Canis lupus familiaris: one gene and its partner. The protein of the gene in region 1 purifies or fractionates together with the protein of each later gene. This does not show direct contact. Links are inferred from orthologs where the notes say so. Each region holds a gene or a part of one and is shown in the gene's direction. Other genes may lie near its edges.

What was found. The genes of interacting proteins can lie anywhere in the genome.
Region 2: the proteins of PUS10 (region 1) and ABITRAM purify together in Homo sapiens (affinity purification with mass spectrometry; 3 studies listed by BioGRID and IntAct, counting the BioPlex papers as one, with this or other methods). This does not show direct contact. The link is inferred for Canis lupus familiaris from reciprocal best matches to the Homo sapiens genes PUS10 and ABITRAM.

The regions. Positions count from the first base shown.
Region 1 is NC_049231.1:62,390,538-62,398,839, reverse strand, and holds the start of PUS10 (tRNA pseudouridine synthase Pus10), read left to right. Parts: upstream 1-3,215; 5' UTR 3,216-3,516; coding exon of another isoform or gene 3,517-3,608; 5' UTR 3,609-3,774; intron 3,775-3,864; exon of another isoform or gene 3,865-4,244; intron 4,245-4,346; exon of another isoform or gene 4,347-4,582; intron 4,583-4,726; exon of another isoform or gene 4,727-5,053; intron 5,054-8,302. Other genes in the region: PEX13 (peroxisome biogenesis factor 13), read right to left, coding at 3,517-3,608. UniProt on the Homo sapiens protein: Protein with different functions depending on its subcellular location: involved in miRNA processing in the nucleus and acts as a tRNA pseudouridylate synthase in the cytoplasm.
Region 2 is NC_049232.1:64,462,850-64,470,551, forward strand, and holds the end of ABITRAM (protein Abitram), read left to right. Parts: intron 1-311; coding exon 312-441; intron 442-3,378; coding exon 3,379-3,455; intron 3,456-3,534; coding exon 3,535-3,604; intron 3,605-3,695; coding exon 3,696-3,833; 3' UTR 3,834-5,068; downstream 5,069-7,702. Other genes in the region: CTNNAL1 (alpha-catulin), read right to left, coding at 6,825-6,890, 7,022-7,105. UniProt on the Homo sapiens protein: Actin-binding protein that regulates actin polymerization, filopodia dynamics and increases the branching of proximal dendrites of developing neurons.

The DNA.
Region 1 (8,302 bases):
ATAAGGGGTGCCTGGGTGGGCAGTCCATTAAGCATCTGGCTTCAGCTCAGGTCAGAGTCCTGGGATTGGAGCCCAGTATCATGTTAGGTTTTCTGCTCGAGGAGTCTGCTTCTCCCTCTCCTGTGCATTCTCTTTCTCTCTCTCAAATAAATAAATACATCTTTTTATAAAAAAACCCCCCAAAAAACAAAAAAAAGCAAACATCATATCTTAATAGTGAGACTTGAGAAGCATTCCAATGAAAGTCAGAAGCAATACAAGGATGATGGTTATCTATGCTAGCTTATTTGTAAATGATACAACTGTCCAACATGGAACACAAGAGAATTTCAACTAAACCACCAGAACAACTTAAGTCTGAATTATGCTGGATATAAAAGATGGAAAAATACTTCCTTGAGATAGTTACATTATTTAAGGCAAAAAAGATTCAAATTCTCAAAAAGTTCCAATAAAAATCTCAGTAAGTCTTTTTATAAAGGGTAAATGTAACAAAGGCAATTTTGAAGAACAGCAATGTATGGAGGTTGTTCACATACCAGGTATCAAACTTATTAACTAAGACAGTGTGGGGGTGCCTGGGTGGCTCAGTTAAGAGTCTGACTTTTGATTTTGGTTCAGATAGTAATCTCAGGGTCATTAGCAGGGGTCCCTCAGTGGGTAGTTTGCTTGAGATTCTCTCTTTCCCTCCTCCTGCTTGTTCTCTCTCTAAAATGAAAAAATACAATCTTAAAAAAAAAAAAAAAGTGGTGCTAGCATAAGAATAGAAAGACCAATAGAACATATCAGAAAGCTTCCCAAACAGAACCCACACATTTATGAAAGCTTAATATGATGCAGATGGCATTATAAACTAGTATGGTATAAATTAATGATACTGGGGTATTTATCCCCATGGGGGAAAAAAAAAAACCTATATTCTCTACTTTGCAACTGATTTTATACAACAGAGTCAGTTCCAGGGAGATTAAAGATATGAATGTGAAATGCAGAGTATTTTTAAAAAATAGAGAAAAAAAATTTTTTTTGAAAAAAATTTTCTTGATCTGAGGCAGAAAGGGTTTCTTAACCAAGACAGTAAAAACACAAACAATAAATATGAAAATTTTGGTTATATTTAAATTAAAAGTATCTATACAACAAAAGTGAACATGAATACAAATACAGCAAGAAGACAAGTCACAGACTGAAAGATATTGAAAACATACAAAAATAGAGTAAGTATGAATAAAGGACTTTTAACAAGTTGATAGGCAAATTTGGAGCCAATAAAAAAAGTGGGCAAGAAATATCAACAGAAAAAACTCAAATGGCTAATATTCAAAAAGATGCTCATAAAAAAAAAGATGCTCAATCTTATTACTAACCAGAGAGTACAAATTAAAAATGAAATATCTTTTCTTATCTATTAGGTTGGCAAATAAAGAACTAAAAAATAACATCAAGTGTTAGAAAGAATGTAGAGACACAATACTTTGCTAGTGAAAATGTAAACACTGGTATAAAACCACTTTGGGGAGCAACTTGGCAATAGTTAGTACTTGAAGCTAAGCATACCCTCCACCAAGCAATTCCACTTCCAATAACAATTAGGAAACACCTTGGAAATGAGGACAAGAAGAAAGGCACAAGAATGGTCACTGCAGAGGCACCTGGGTGGCTCAGTGGGTGTCTGCCTTAGGCTCAGGTCGTGATCTCACTGTCCTGGGATCAGTTGGCATTGGGCTCCCTGCTCTGAGGGAGTCTGCTTTTCCCTCTCCCTCTGCCCCTTGCCCCTGCTCATGTTCTCTCTCTCTCTCTCTCACAAATAAGTAAATAATCTTTTAAAAAAATCACTAGCGGTTTTTAATATGTAGCTAATACTTTAACACCTACAACAGAATAAGTTTGTTTTAATAGAATATCCTTTGGCGATTAAAATGAACTACAGATGTAAGTATGAACAAGAGAAACCTCAAAATCAGTATTTAATGGAAAAAATTTGCAAAATGATAGTTTGAACATAAAGTCTAAAAACACACTAAACACTATACACACAGATACACACACACACATAAAACACAAAAACTGCTAAACTATAAAAACATAATTGGGCACACAAACCACCAAATAGGGACAGTAGTTATAGCAGGAAAGAAGAATGGGAGGCTTAACACTTTCTCTAAGTTTTATTATTATTTTTTTAATCTGAAAAAAAAAAAAAATCTGAGGCAGATCTGGAAAAATGTTCTTAAAGCTAGCCTGAGTCCGCAAGTATTCCTTGTCTTAACACTCTACCAGATTTCTATGTGTTTAAAATTCTCAACGAAGAAAAATGGGGGGAAAAAAAGGTTAATTTTACATAAACAGGACTTTTAACAAGATGCCAAGTATAAAACCTGTCTTCCCAAATTGCTGTTCAAGGTTTTAAAAAAAGTCCAATGGCGGGGGGGGGGGGGGATCCCTGGGTGGCGCAGCGGTTTAGCGCCTGCCTTGGGGCCCAGGGCGTGATCCTGGAGTCCCGGGGATCGAGTCCCACCCACGTCGGGCTCCCTCTGTGTGTGTCTCTCATGAATAAAATAAATAAATAAATAAAACCTTAAAATTAATTAATTTAAAAAAGTCAAATCATTCATAACACAGCAGAAAGCGTCGCCCTCCAACTTAACAGTACAATCAAAGCTTATTACTCGTGATGAATCTACCATTATTAGATTAAGCTGCTAATGTGTTCAAGTATCTCAACATTTCAACAAGGATTACAAGATCTTACAACACAGCAGGAATACACCCAGTATATGGGGGTGGGGGGTGTGTGGGGGGGTTCTCCCTCTGCCTGTGTCTCTGCCTCTCTCTCTCTCTGTGTCTCTCATGAATAAATAAATAAAATCTTAAAAAAAAAAGACACCGATGAGAAACAAACAAATAAATAAATAAACAACAACACACAGGCCTTGGAAAAGTGACCCACAAAGGCCATCTACATATAGGCCTCGGATTTAGGACTCCCGCTTGAAAGTTGCTTCTCCAGGTCTTTACCCAAAACGTCGCTCAGTTATGCAGAAAAACAACATAAAGTGCATAGACCTGGGTTCACAGCGACCTTCGGGGCCTCCACCAGCTGCCCGAGAGGCGCCGTAAAAGCCGGGCGGAGACTTTGCTCCCTCCGGGGCGACCTGGGGCTGGGCCAATCTCAGCCACTCACACCTGCCAAAGACCAAAAGTCGAACATTTTTTTCTAAGGGCCGAGCGGTTCTGTCGCCGTGTTCCGCTCCCAGGAAACGGAGGCAGGAAAGCCTCCCGCTTTCCTGCAGGCGCCGGGACCCAGGGAGGGTCCCCCTGAAGAGCGTCCCTACCGAGAGCCGTCCAGTCCGAGAGAGCCGTGCGGCCCCGGAGTGGTCTCTAGCTTAGACCCCTCGGCGCCCGGGCCCGGCGCGGGGGGAGGGGACACCTCCGCCCCACAACGGCCTCAACCGTCTCCTGCCAAACCGCCGCTCCGCCCCGCCAGCCCCGCGGCCAGAAGAATCCCACACTCACTGGAAAGAGGGGCCGGGGCCCGGGCCCGGCCCGACCCCAGGAATTCGCCGGGTCTCCCAGGGTTTCGGGGGAGGAGGCGGCTGGGAAGCCATCTCCTCCGCCACCGCTCGCCTCCCCGTCCGCGCTGGGACTCCCCAGGCCCGGGGACAGCAGCACCTCGCCAGGCACAACGGGCAGAGCACCGAGTTCTCCACCCCCGCCCACCCCGGCCGCCAGCGCGCCGCCTGCGCTACTCTGCCAGAGGGCACCTGAGGCCAGGTCGCTGCTGCTAATCCACCGGGGGTGGGGGGGTGGGGGGGTGGGGGGGGGGGGGTGGGACTCTCTCTCTTTTAATTTGCAATTATGTCCATTGTAAACCTGAAGGTAGGCGCTCATCGATATTTCTGGCAGCGGCTACAACGCCCTAGACATCGGAGTCCTATGGAGGCTTCTCTGGGACGCTGCGAGTTCTGTCCCCCGCACTTCTACCGCCCGCGGGGTTGGCAGTGGGGGCAAGGGGTTGTGGCGGCGGGCCAGGCAGCTTTTCTGGTTTCCCCACAAACAAGAAGAGGCGAGAGTTCACTCGCTCAGCCCTTTGCGAGAGGGCCTGGTACTTTCGTTCCAAAGCTCTCGTTTCCTCGGGGAACAGAATTGCGTCACGCAGTAGGTGCGTTGTCTTTAGTCTTCCCCCCGTTCCCTCTGGGGGACCGGAAGGGGTTAAAGCCCAGGCTCCCGCGTCGCGAGAGAAGGTGAGGCAGGAAGGTCTGGGGGGCGGGGCGGGGGCCGGGGGGCGCGGGCTCGGACGGGGCGCTGCAGAGGTGTGGATGGACCGGGTGGCGTCCTTCCTCCAGGAGCGGCCTCGTTAGCAGGAAGGGGCGAGCGGGAAGTTCCTCGGACCCGACCGCAGCCGGGGAAGGGCTCGCCTGGCCGGAGGAGAGACTGGAGGTTAGGCTCTGGATGCATTTCCACGCGTCTAGAGTGGATTTTGCAGCGGAGAGCGACGGTAGCGCGATGAAGTTGTGAGCGTCTCCTTCGAAAAGTGCACGTCCTCCGCCGCCGCCGGGAGACGAACCACACACACGCTTCGGTATGGAAATGAGCGTTGGAAGATCCCGGGGTGCGAGACCCAGTTTGGCCATATTGTGTGTGTGTGTGTGTGTGTGTGTGTGTGTGTGTGTGTTTTCACACGCCCTGCTCCTTCCCTATCTGTAATGAATGGCTTCTGTTTAAGTCCAAGAGGTGAAAAGAAAGTCCGCCGTCTCCTCCAGGCATCGCTGGCCCGTGGAGAACTGACTCAGACCCCGGTTCAGGATCCTGGCAGGTGGGAGGAGGTCCTGTTGCAATGACTGAGTTCCCATGGTTTATGTAAAGAAGCACGTAGAGGAGAAGCAAAAACAAAACAAAACGAACAAAACCGGAACGAAGGCAGCCGGCAGTGACCCACCTTAGAGCTCTTAGGGCTTTGCTTTCAAAGCTGGGACACCTCGTAGGGGACGGCTGATTTCTGAGGACCTAAGGAATTCTTGCAAGGCCGCGCATCAAGAGGAAACCACCGAGTGTAAGGCAGAGCGCATTTCCTCCTTTTAGATTTTTTAAAAAAATATTTTTTATTCATGGGAGACACACAGAGAGAGGCAGAGACACAGGCAGAGGGAGAAGCAGGCTCCATGCAGGGAGCCCGACGTGGGACTCGATCCCGGGTCGTCCAGGGTCACGCCCTGAGCCCGAGGCAGGCGCTGAACCTCTGAGCCACCTGGGGATCCCGCATTTCTTGCTTTTACTGTCAACTTGTTTGAGAAGTCGCTAGATTGCTGCAAAGTGAAAAAGAGCGGGAGGGTTCGGAAGACCCATCACCGACACATGCACACCGAAGACTGGGTTTAGTCTTGTGTCATTCATTCATTCATTCATTCATTCATTCATTCATTCATTCATTCATTCATACCTCTTACGATTACTCAGGCCAAGAGGTTTCCGAATTCTCCGCAGTGTTGGGAACATCTCAGAGCCAAGAGGTTGTAATGTGTCATTTATTGCCTTTGCAGTGATAGCCTTCATACCAAGAGTATACCTCTCGGAGAAATAAACAGTCTTTGAACCAAAGGAAAGAAAGTATCCTTTTTTTTTCCCTCCCCAATTGAATTTTTTGTTTTTAAATTTAAGTATAGTTGACCCACAATGTTACACGAGTTTCAGGTGTAAAACATAGTGATTCAATCTCTCTGTAGGAAATCCTGTGCTCACGCCAAGTGTAGCCAACTTCCGACACCGCCCTGCAACCTATCACAAATCATTGCCTTTTATCCTGATGACTTACTCCACCTTTGGAAGCCTGTGTTCCTCACTCCTCTTCCCTTTGGCAACCATCAGTTTGTGCTTTGTATTTATAGAGATCCGTTTTGTTTGCTTATTCATTTGTGTGTGTGTTTTGTTTTTTGGATTCCACTTAGGGGTGACATCACATGGTATTTGTCTTTCTCAATTTGACTTACTTCACATAGTGTAACAACCTGTTCCGTCCATCCATATTGTCCCAAATGGAACCGTGTTATCGTTAGGAAGCATCCATTTCAATAATAGTATTTATCTTCAGCCCCCCAGGGAAATCTTTGAGACAAAGTGTTCTTTTTATTTTTATTTATTTTCTTAAAGATTTTTATTTATTCATTAGAGACACACAGAGAGAGAGGCAGAGAAACAGGCAGAGGGAGAAGCAGGCTCCATGCAGGGAGCTGGACGTGGGACTCGATCCCAGGACTCCAGGATCATGGCCTGGGCTGAAGGCAGGCGCTAAACCGCTGAGCCTCCAAGGCTGCCCCTCAAAGTGTTCTTTGTAAAAACTTACTCATGCACTTATTTATCAGGGAGGAAGGTTTGTTTCTCTTTCTGAGTTACAGATTAATTCTGGATTAAATGATATCTTTGGTCTTAAGTCATGGAAAGATGGAGAAAAAAAAATAAAGAGTGAGACAGAAATAGTTTCTCCCGGAGGGGATTGTAGTCAAGGATGTACTTTAAATGCTGATAATCAGTCCCTCACTGAGTTCCAATCAAACCAGCAGATTAGGGGCAGCCTGGGTGGCTCAGCGGTTGAGCGTCTGCCTTTGGCCCAGGGCCTGATCTAGGAGACCCGGGATCGAGTCCCACATAGGGCTCCCTCGCCTGCTTCTCCCTCTGCCTGTGTCTCTGCCTCTCTCTCTGTGTCTTTTATGAATAAAAAAAACAAAACAAAAAACTAGCAGATTAAATGGCCTGGCAGAAGGAATCCAAATCACTTGCATATAATGATGACCACATACAGCTACTCTGTACAAGATGTTCTCCACAAACTTTGTGTCCTTTTGTGAGAATGCCCTTGAGCCCAACTTTAAGTAGGCAGCCCTAAATCAAAGCTTAATCCTGGTGTCTCAAAGTTCTCACTGGCCTATCCAGGCAAAGTCAGATGTTCTTCTCTTCCTGTCTGCTAGCTCCCACTCTATGTTTACCTGAATTGGAACTCGGTCAGAGGCAACCTGTTTTTTGTAGTCCTGGCTGCTAAACTGATTTTTATGGTGAAGGGTTCTGTAGAAGTATATACCTGCCTTCCTCATTATTTTGGGTCAAGGATAGACTCCTGATAAGTGGCCACAAATATTTAGAAACTTAAAGTAGTGGATTTTAAAGGGTTGGAAAAGACAAACTACATCTTCACTGTAAGAGGTTGGTAAGAGCTTCACCGTCCCACAAATTTTAAGCAAGTTTGTTCGAATTATGAAACTGCACAAATTAAAAAGCGCCACTGTTTTTTATCTGTATGACCATAGTTATACCATACCACAATTATTATTTTATAAAATATTGCTAGCTCCTCATTTTAAAGTAATGTGAGCTGATTCATTAATCAGACCTATTTTTGTAAAACAGAATGATTAGGTAATTTGATTTTAGTATACCTCCTTCCTGGCAACAAGAGAGTTATATTGGATTTTACCCTCTTCTCTAGTTTTTGTTTCTAAGGATGTTTATTCAAATTGCAAAAACTAACAACTTGTTTTAGATGATAATTACTCTAAATTATTTTGCATGTAATTTGTGGGGGTTTTTGGTGGGGGGAGGTTTTACTTGTGCATGAAAGGAGCAGATTTTTCTCATTTTGCTAATAGTTGGTTGTCATTTAGTTATCTCATCAAAGTATAATAGATGATTTTATTTCTACTGATCAATTTGTTTTAAATACTTGACTATTGGGGGGGCCTGGGGGGCTCAGTTGGTTAAGCAGCTGCCTTCAGTCAGGTTATAATCCCTGGGTCCTGGGATTGAGCCCCATATCGGGTTCCCTTCTAAGCAGGGAGTCTGTCTCTCCCTCTCCATCTCCTTATCAGTCCCTTTGCTTGTGCTCTCTCTCTGTCAAATGAATAAGTGAAATCTTAAAAAAAAATTAAATAAGTGAATACTTGCCTGTTTAAGTATCATTGAGACCATTAAAAAATATAGATGGACTGATTATTTTTTCCTAGCAAACTCATTTTTAATTTCTAATAGGAAAAGTTTATTGAATTTACTACTCAATTGTGTTCTCAACACTGAATGGTGCAAAATAACAAACCTTCACTCTGTATTCTTTGTTTTTATTATTCTCAGAGATAATCATTCTTGATTATTTTAATTGATTTTAGTTATATTGATATACTTTATCATAATCCAGAATGGTGAACTGAATTCCTTGATAATTAGAAACTTTTACCTGACCCATCTAGTAAATGTCTTTCAAGTTTATGTTTCAATATAGATATAGCGAAAGGGATATTATTGGAGGGTACGAAATAAT
Region 2 (7,702 bases), on another chromosome or scaffold:
GGGCAGAGGCACAGGGAGTGTCCTGTGCGCACAGCCATGCCTTACCCCTCTCTCTTCCACCTCAGGTCCACCTGAGGACTTCTGGTGCGTTGCCTTTTTCTGGGAAGGCAATTCAGTCTCTTTTTTCTCCTCTCTTATTAGTGCATTCCCTTCTACAGTTAAGGTCCAGCAGTATGCAGAGGAAAATGGGGGGAATGATAGTCTGACTAAACAGCTGTCGCTGGGTATGTTCTTGGGCCGGTAGGTGTACTGTGTGGTGTGAGGAAGAATTATACCAACCCGTAACAGCATCAAATTTTTGCTCCTTGTAGAATATGTGTCATCACATTAGCAGAATCTCATCCAGTTCTTCAAAGTGGGAAAACAATCAAAAGCATCTCCTATCAAATCAGTACTAACTGTAGCCGACTCCAGAACAAGGTCTCTGGGAAATTTAAGCGGGTACGTCCTGTAATCCTCTACTTAAGTCTTCAATGTCTTAGTCATAAGATAGATCTAGACAATTAGATGTGCTGATTTCTCTTTAAGATCTATTTATTTATTTTAGACAGAGAGAGACAGAGCGCGCGCGTGCACAAGCCAGAGGGGCAGGGGGAGAGGAAGAGAGAATCTCAAGCAGACTCCCATGTTGAGTGCAGAGCCTGACATTACAACCTGAGCTAAAACCAAGAGTCATACACTTAATTGACTGCACCACCCAGGCACCCCTGATATGCTGATTTTAAGAATACTTTAACCCTAAAGAAATTCTTAGACCAAAAAATGAAGTATTTCAGGAAGTATAGGATTTGTCATATTTTCAGGTTTTTAAAAATTTTTTTATTTATTCATGAGAGACACAGAGCAAGGAAGAGACACAGGCAGAGGGAGAAGCAGGCTTCCTGCAGGGAGCCCAATGTGGGACTCAATCCTAGGACCCCAGGATCACAACCTGAGCCAAAGGCAGATGCTCAACCACTGAGCCACCAAGGCGTCCCATAGAAGACCCTCGTTTATACTCCCATTTGTAGTTTTGAAATCCCCCATTTGTGGTTTTGAAATTATAATGTACCTTATAATTATTAATTTCTCTTTGTTCAGGGAACACGTGGACTTCGAAAAGCATGAACCTTTCTTAAAAGATAAAGTCTAGGGCAGCCCAGGTGGCTCAGCAGTTTAGCACCACCTTCGGCCCAGGGCGTGATCCTGGGGACCAGAGATCAAGTCCCACGTCAAGCTCCCGGCATGGAGACTGCTTCTCCCTCTGCCTGTGTCTGCCTCCCTCTCTCTCTCTCTCTCTGTCTCTCATGAATAAATAAATAAAATCTTAAAAAAAAAAAAAAAAAAAAAACAACGATAAAGGCTATAGGGGCATCTGAATGGCTTAGTTGGTTGAACATCCGACTCTTGATTTCGGCTTGGGTCATGATCTCAGGGTCCTGGGATTAAACCCTGCATTGGGCTAGTGCTGAGCATGAAGCATGCTTGAGATCATCTCTCTCCCTCTGCCCCTTCACTCCTCCCTCCCTCCCTCTCTTAAAAAAATAAGAAAGAAAAAAAAAGGTAAAGTTCATCAACTACAAGCATAAGGGTACTTGTGAAATTCCTGTGATAAATCTTTGTCCAAAATCATAACACTTATTTGTTGAAAAACAGAGGACCTGCATGTGGAACCCACTACAGATAAATTTTGATTCTCAGCACTGCCATTCACTTATTCTCCCAAGGGAAGTGATTTTAAAAAAGGGTCAAAACACTTCTGCTCTTTTAACACAGACCCAATGATAGACACACCTTTTGGGACAAATCCCCAGCCCGAAAGTGAGGAGTCACATTGACAGGTATTTTGAAATGAAGTACCCATATGCAGAGGATTGAAGCCAATGTGGTAGCATCTTTATACTGTCTAATAATGTTTTGAGCAAGGGGTGCCTGGATGGCTCAGTCGGTTGAGTATCTGACTCTTGGTTTCAGCTCAGGTCATAAGCTCAGGATCTTGGGGATCAGGCCCCATGTAGGACTCTGTGCTCAGCTCAGAGTCTGATTGTCCCTCTCCCTGCCCATCTGCTACTCTCCTCACCTCCACCTCGCTTACAAGTTCTCTCTCTCTCTCTCAAATAAAATCTTTTTAAAAGAGAGAGAGAGAAAATAACGTTTTGAGTGGTAAAGAGGTTATAGGAATAGCCTCTTAACCTCAAATACCCATGTTAAGTGTAGGAAAAATTTCTGGGAAAAAAGTGAGCAACATGAGAGATTTGTGCATCAGTTCCCATGAGCTGCCTTGTAGATGTTTGCTAGAACCTCACGGGATACATCAGTATAGTGGAGTACCTGAAACAGTCATGCTGTAGCATTGGAACACATGTCAAAATGTAGCATTTGCTTCTCAGTTACAGGATATTGGGTAAACTAGTTTTATTTGCTATTTAAAACTTTTCTGTATTTTCCCAATTTTCCTCAAAGTGCATTCTTTTTAATTAGAAATATCACTGCTTCAAAAACTGTTAGTGATTGACCCTAATAAAGAAGTTCCTTTAGTAAGTTTGTATAAATAAGTAAGGAAATTTAATGAAAGTAACTTTGTATAAATGTTATCATACTCTGTTGTGTTGAATTTTATATTATTGGTTATTGAGGGATTTTCTTACACTTTGGAAATTGTTGTATCTGGCCACATGTAGCTTTCTTATTTAAAGTTGATAAAATAGGGGGTCCCTGGGTGGCGCAGCGGTTTGGCGCCTGCCTTTGGCCCAGGGCGCGATCCTGGTAGACCCGGGATCGAATCCCACATCGGGCTCCCGGTGCATGGAGCCTGCTTCTCCCTCTGCCTGTGTCTCTGCGCCTCTCTCTCTCTCTGTGACTGTCGTAAATAAATAAAAATTAAAAAAAAATTAAAAAAAAATAAAGTTGATAAAATAGGGATGCCTAGGTAGCTCAGCAGTTGAGCCTCTGCCTTTGGCTCAGCGCGTGATCCTGGAGACCCGGGATCGAGTCCCACATCGGGCTCCCTGCATGGAGCCTGCTTCTCCCTCTGCCTGTGTCTCTGCCTCTCTCTCTCCCTCTCTCTCTGTGTGTGTCCAATGAATAAACATATAATCTTTAAAAAATAAAGTTGATAAAATAAATTTAAAAAAATTTTTTAAACTTGACAAAATATATTTTTAATCTTTAATTAAACTACCTATTATTTATCTTAGTCTGCTCTTTCCCCTAGAGCCTACGATGGTACCTGGCCCACTTACATAAATGTTTGAATAAATGGCTTTTCTGTAGTATTGGCAAATACTATATTTTTATTTAAAACAGTAGCTCCAGGAATGTATTCTAACACTGAAGACTGCCTTTCAAAGGAAAATGAAGATGTCCCTCATTTAATTACTTCTTCCCTTTTATTATCAGGGGGCACAGTTTCTAACAGAGCTTGCACCTCTGTGTAAGATTTACTGCTCAGATGGAGAAGAATACACCATATCTAGGTAAGTCGCTTTTTAACCACAATTTAGGAGAAACAAAGGAGGTAGTATCTTTCTTCAAAACAACTTTTGTTTTAAATAGCTGTGTTAGAGGACGGTTGATGGAAGTGAATGAAAACATTCTCCATAAGCCATCTATTCTTCAAGAGAAGGTAAAGGAGGGAGAAAAAAGTATCCCATTCTACATACTTTTTAATCTCATTTTATAGATAAGACAATATTAAATATTCAATTCCTTTCTAGCCATCGACTGAAGGCTACATTGCGGTTGTATTGCCCAAATTTGAAGAAAGTAAAAGCATAACAGAAGGGTTACTGACACAGAAACAGTATGAAGAAGTCGTGGTGAAGCGCATTAATGCCACAACGGCTCCATCATGAGGATTGTAATGGGGTAATGAACAACGCGGCATGCTTATCCCTCCCTGGCCTGTGGCCTGAGCGATCCATGCACTAAAGAACCACCTACACATGTGAAGTGCTTCACCCCAAGCCATCCGCAGAGAAGCCTGACCTTAAAACTTAACCTAGTTTTCCCCCTTTATCTTTTATAACGAGTCTTGGTTCTTGTTTTGTCCTCAGCCTCCCAGATCTGCCCTATGTACTCACTCTGTTCTTGTGCTTTTCTAACAACTGGCAAGGAGAGGATGTTTTTCTGATTAAAAATAAAGCACTTTGAGAAAAATTTGGATAAAACAGATAAGTGTTAAATAGCAAAGTAAAAATAATTTAACTGGGATCCCTGGGTGGCGCAGCAGTTTGCGCCTGCCTTTGGCCCAGGGCGCGATCCTGGAGACCCGGGATCGAATCCCACGTTGGGCTCCCGGTGCATGGAGCCTGCTTCTCCCTCTGCCTGTGTCTCTGCGCCTCTCTCTCTCTCTCTCTCTGTGACTATCATAAATAAATAAAAATTAAAAAAAAATTAAAAAAAATAATTTAACCATCATCCCATAACCCATTAGTAAATACTACATTTTGATATGCTTCGGTTTGAATGTTACGGCATGGTTATTGCTTTTGCCTTGATTTTCCTTCAGTTTAAAGTTGGGGAAAAAAAAATCAGGCCTTTTTTGCCCATTTGGCTTCTGAATGACACTACAGAAAAGGCTAGAACAGCCTCTTCAGCCCTAGCTCTTCTCCCTTTAGATTGTAGGGGAGGGGCAGAGCATAGAGTATACCTCCTCCACTCCTTATACAGTCTGTAGCTCGGATGGCCTTCTCTGAAACAAAGTCGAATGTAACACTGGCTTCTTAAATAAGGGATATAGGAAAAGGCTTTGAAAACTACAAAGGGCTTTCCCAACGTGGAAGTATTCTAATGCAGTGTAAAGCTGCTTATCACAGTACGTACAGTGTAGTTGCTCACACACTCTAGCTGTGGTGTAGCCAGCCAAGAAGTCATTGAGAAGTTGCTGTAATCCAAAGACATAGATGCCTTTGAACAGAACAAAAACTTTTACATCATCTAAACTAAAAACAGAACTGATAGGCTTTAAGATTGTCTACTTACACTGAATTTCAAATAAAAGGACTTTTTAAATTGTTTTTTTTTCTTAAAGGCTGTAGCACATGTACATTTAAATATCTCTGTAAATAAAACAGAAGATGTAATTTAATACAGAAGAAATCCCTTTACTTGTAAATTCCTTTGGTTCTCTATCCGCTTAGCCTGTTGGTCGTAAGTCACCCCTTCCTCACCCCCCATTGCACTTAAATAAGAGAATATTCTCATTTCAGGTATATAAAAGTATTTTGTAAATAAAATCTAGAAGTTATTTTTGATTCACAAGAAAAACTTCTTGTAACTTGAGTGGCAGCATGACTGTCCTTTAAATATACCCACCAGACATAATATAGGTAGTAAGTGTACAGACATCTACACTGATGGTGCTAAGAGCTGGAAACAGAAGCACAAACCAGCTGATCCCCATTTTGAGTAGCATAATGATTCCTGAAGACATCAAAAAGATACTAAAGATAGTAAAAGATGTATTTTTGCATATAACATTACCTCACATTGTTCTCCCATTATTTCTATTTCTATTGTAATTTTAAATAATATTTTGGTCTCAGAGAATAAAAATCATGCTTGATAATTTTTATAAAAGAAGTATTTTTAAAGGTATTAACTAAGCCAAGTATATCCCATATTTTCCTGAATGCTTACAGTAACTTCAAGTGTCTTTCAATAAAATATTGACTAGCTAATTGGTAGTACTGTGGTTCTTCAGAATCTTGTGAATATTGATTGTGATAGCTGACCCAGATAACAATCATCACACAAGCTTATATAACTACTGCAGTCTGGCAACTGACGTGTCCTATCAGATTTCAAAATGAATTTCACAGCACTGGAATACAAGCATTAGCAAAAGTTCAAAACATGGTTAAACCATAAGGAGAGAACATATAAACTACGTCCCTTGATCAAAGCCCCACCCCAAACAGAAACAAAGGTTTAAACACTAAAATTAAAAAGATGAAAGATGTTTATTTGTTTTATAATGAACGTTCCAAAGGCACATTACAAAATGCACGATTATTCAGAATTTATTTTAAACATCTTAGTTCCATTGTTCTCTGTCTCGAATCTTCCATCAGTCAGTACAGAGAAGGATGGTTCAAAGACATTTTTTACACCAGTAAGACAGGCTTAGGATTCCAGCTATTACACAATAATATTGATAGCTGGCTATGGTAAAAGGAGAAGTGAAAGCCATCCCCTAGTGAGTTCCTGTAGGATTCTGTGGGTGAGCTCCATGACCCCACTTTTGGGAATGGGAGAGGGATGTGCAGCACAACAGAGCCCATGCTATGAAATGCTTGTTAGAGAACAAACGTGTGCTACCACGATGGGTGGTCGGTGACAGGACAGCAAAGAGGCCAGTCACAATTGTGGACAGAGGGACTGAAGAAGAGTCCACAGATTTAAGGAAACCCCTGCATTCACCCAGACAACTATGAATATATATATATATTTTTTCCTGCTGAAAATTAGTGTTCTAAATGATAGGCTTAAATAAAAGGAAATTAAGGTATTTTATGCCAAAGGTGAGCACATATTCAAAATAGCTTCTTTGGATAAAACTGTCACTAAGACAGTTGGGATATTTGGTTTGACTTTCAAGAACAGTATTAGTGGCAACGTCCCATTGTAAATTCACACTGCAATTAAGAATGTAGCAACTACCATTGAATTTATTAGTTGTCAAAAAACATCACAATCAGTTTTGTGATCAGAAAATAAAGCAAAATTTCATTATTGTTTTCCTTATAAAATTGTTAAATTTCTGAAAATATAAAGGATCATTTGCTTTCTAAAAATACCAGCTTTGCTCCATGCTGTTCCAGAGATCTGACCCCAAAAGCTTCTCAAGTTTTACCATCGACGGAGTCTTTATTTGTAACTGAGACCCATCTGTTATTTTCCATCTGAAGCTGGAAAGGGGTAAGACAATTAGCTTCTACTTTACTTTCAAAACAAAAATTGCCAAAATTAAATAGTAACTATTTCTTTTGCATTTTTCTTGAAACTAGTTTTTAAGTGTGATTTTCAGAAAAACTCTTACCTTCCTTAGTAGTTTATAGCAAAGTGAGAGAAGTTGGACCAAAATAGCCATCATGGATCTTGTCTTTATAATACACTTATCAATCTATAATGACAGAAAGCAAGCAAATCAAATTCTACAAAGGGTACTTCAAAAGACTGTATCATTGATTAATTTTGAACTGATAAAATATCTTCACTGTGGAAATCTAAAGGATCCTCAAAGGCATATGGATTAGGGCACATAAGCCGACTTGAGGCCCCAGAACACAAGCGCAGGGACTGCTGCCCAGGTCTCATGCCCACTTCACAGAACCCCATGAAGAATAAATGGAAAATCAACCTGTTCTATTTCAAGTTATTTTGGCACTTCTTAAAACACTCCAAATAGTGACAGTGAGCCCCCTACTTTGCAACTTCTGGCACTCTGCTTTGTTGGCATTAGCCAAATTCCCGAAGACAAACAATGGGAGCCCCTGCTTTGAGGAATCTGTGCCCTGGTTAGACATGTGACGACATCAGGATTTAAGGGTAGTTGCCCAGTGTTGCAGAATTATGCTCAAAAGGCTAATTTATTTGGTGAACCTACTGCTCCCCAGGCTGTTATAACTACAGATGATAAATGAGTCTTGCAATCAAGGTATGAAAAATGGAAGTAAACGGCCTGTAACTAATAACACCTCTGAAGAAAAATGGGCTAGAA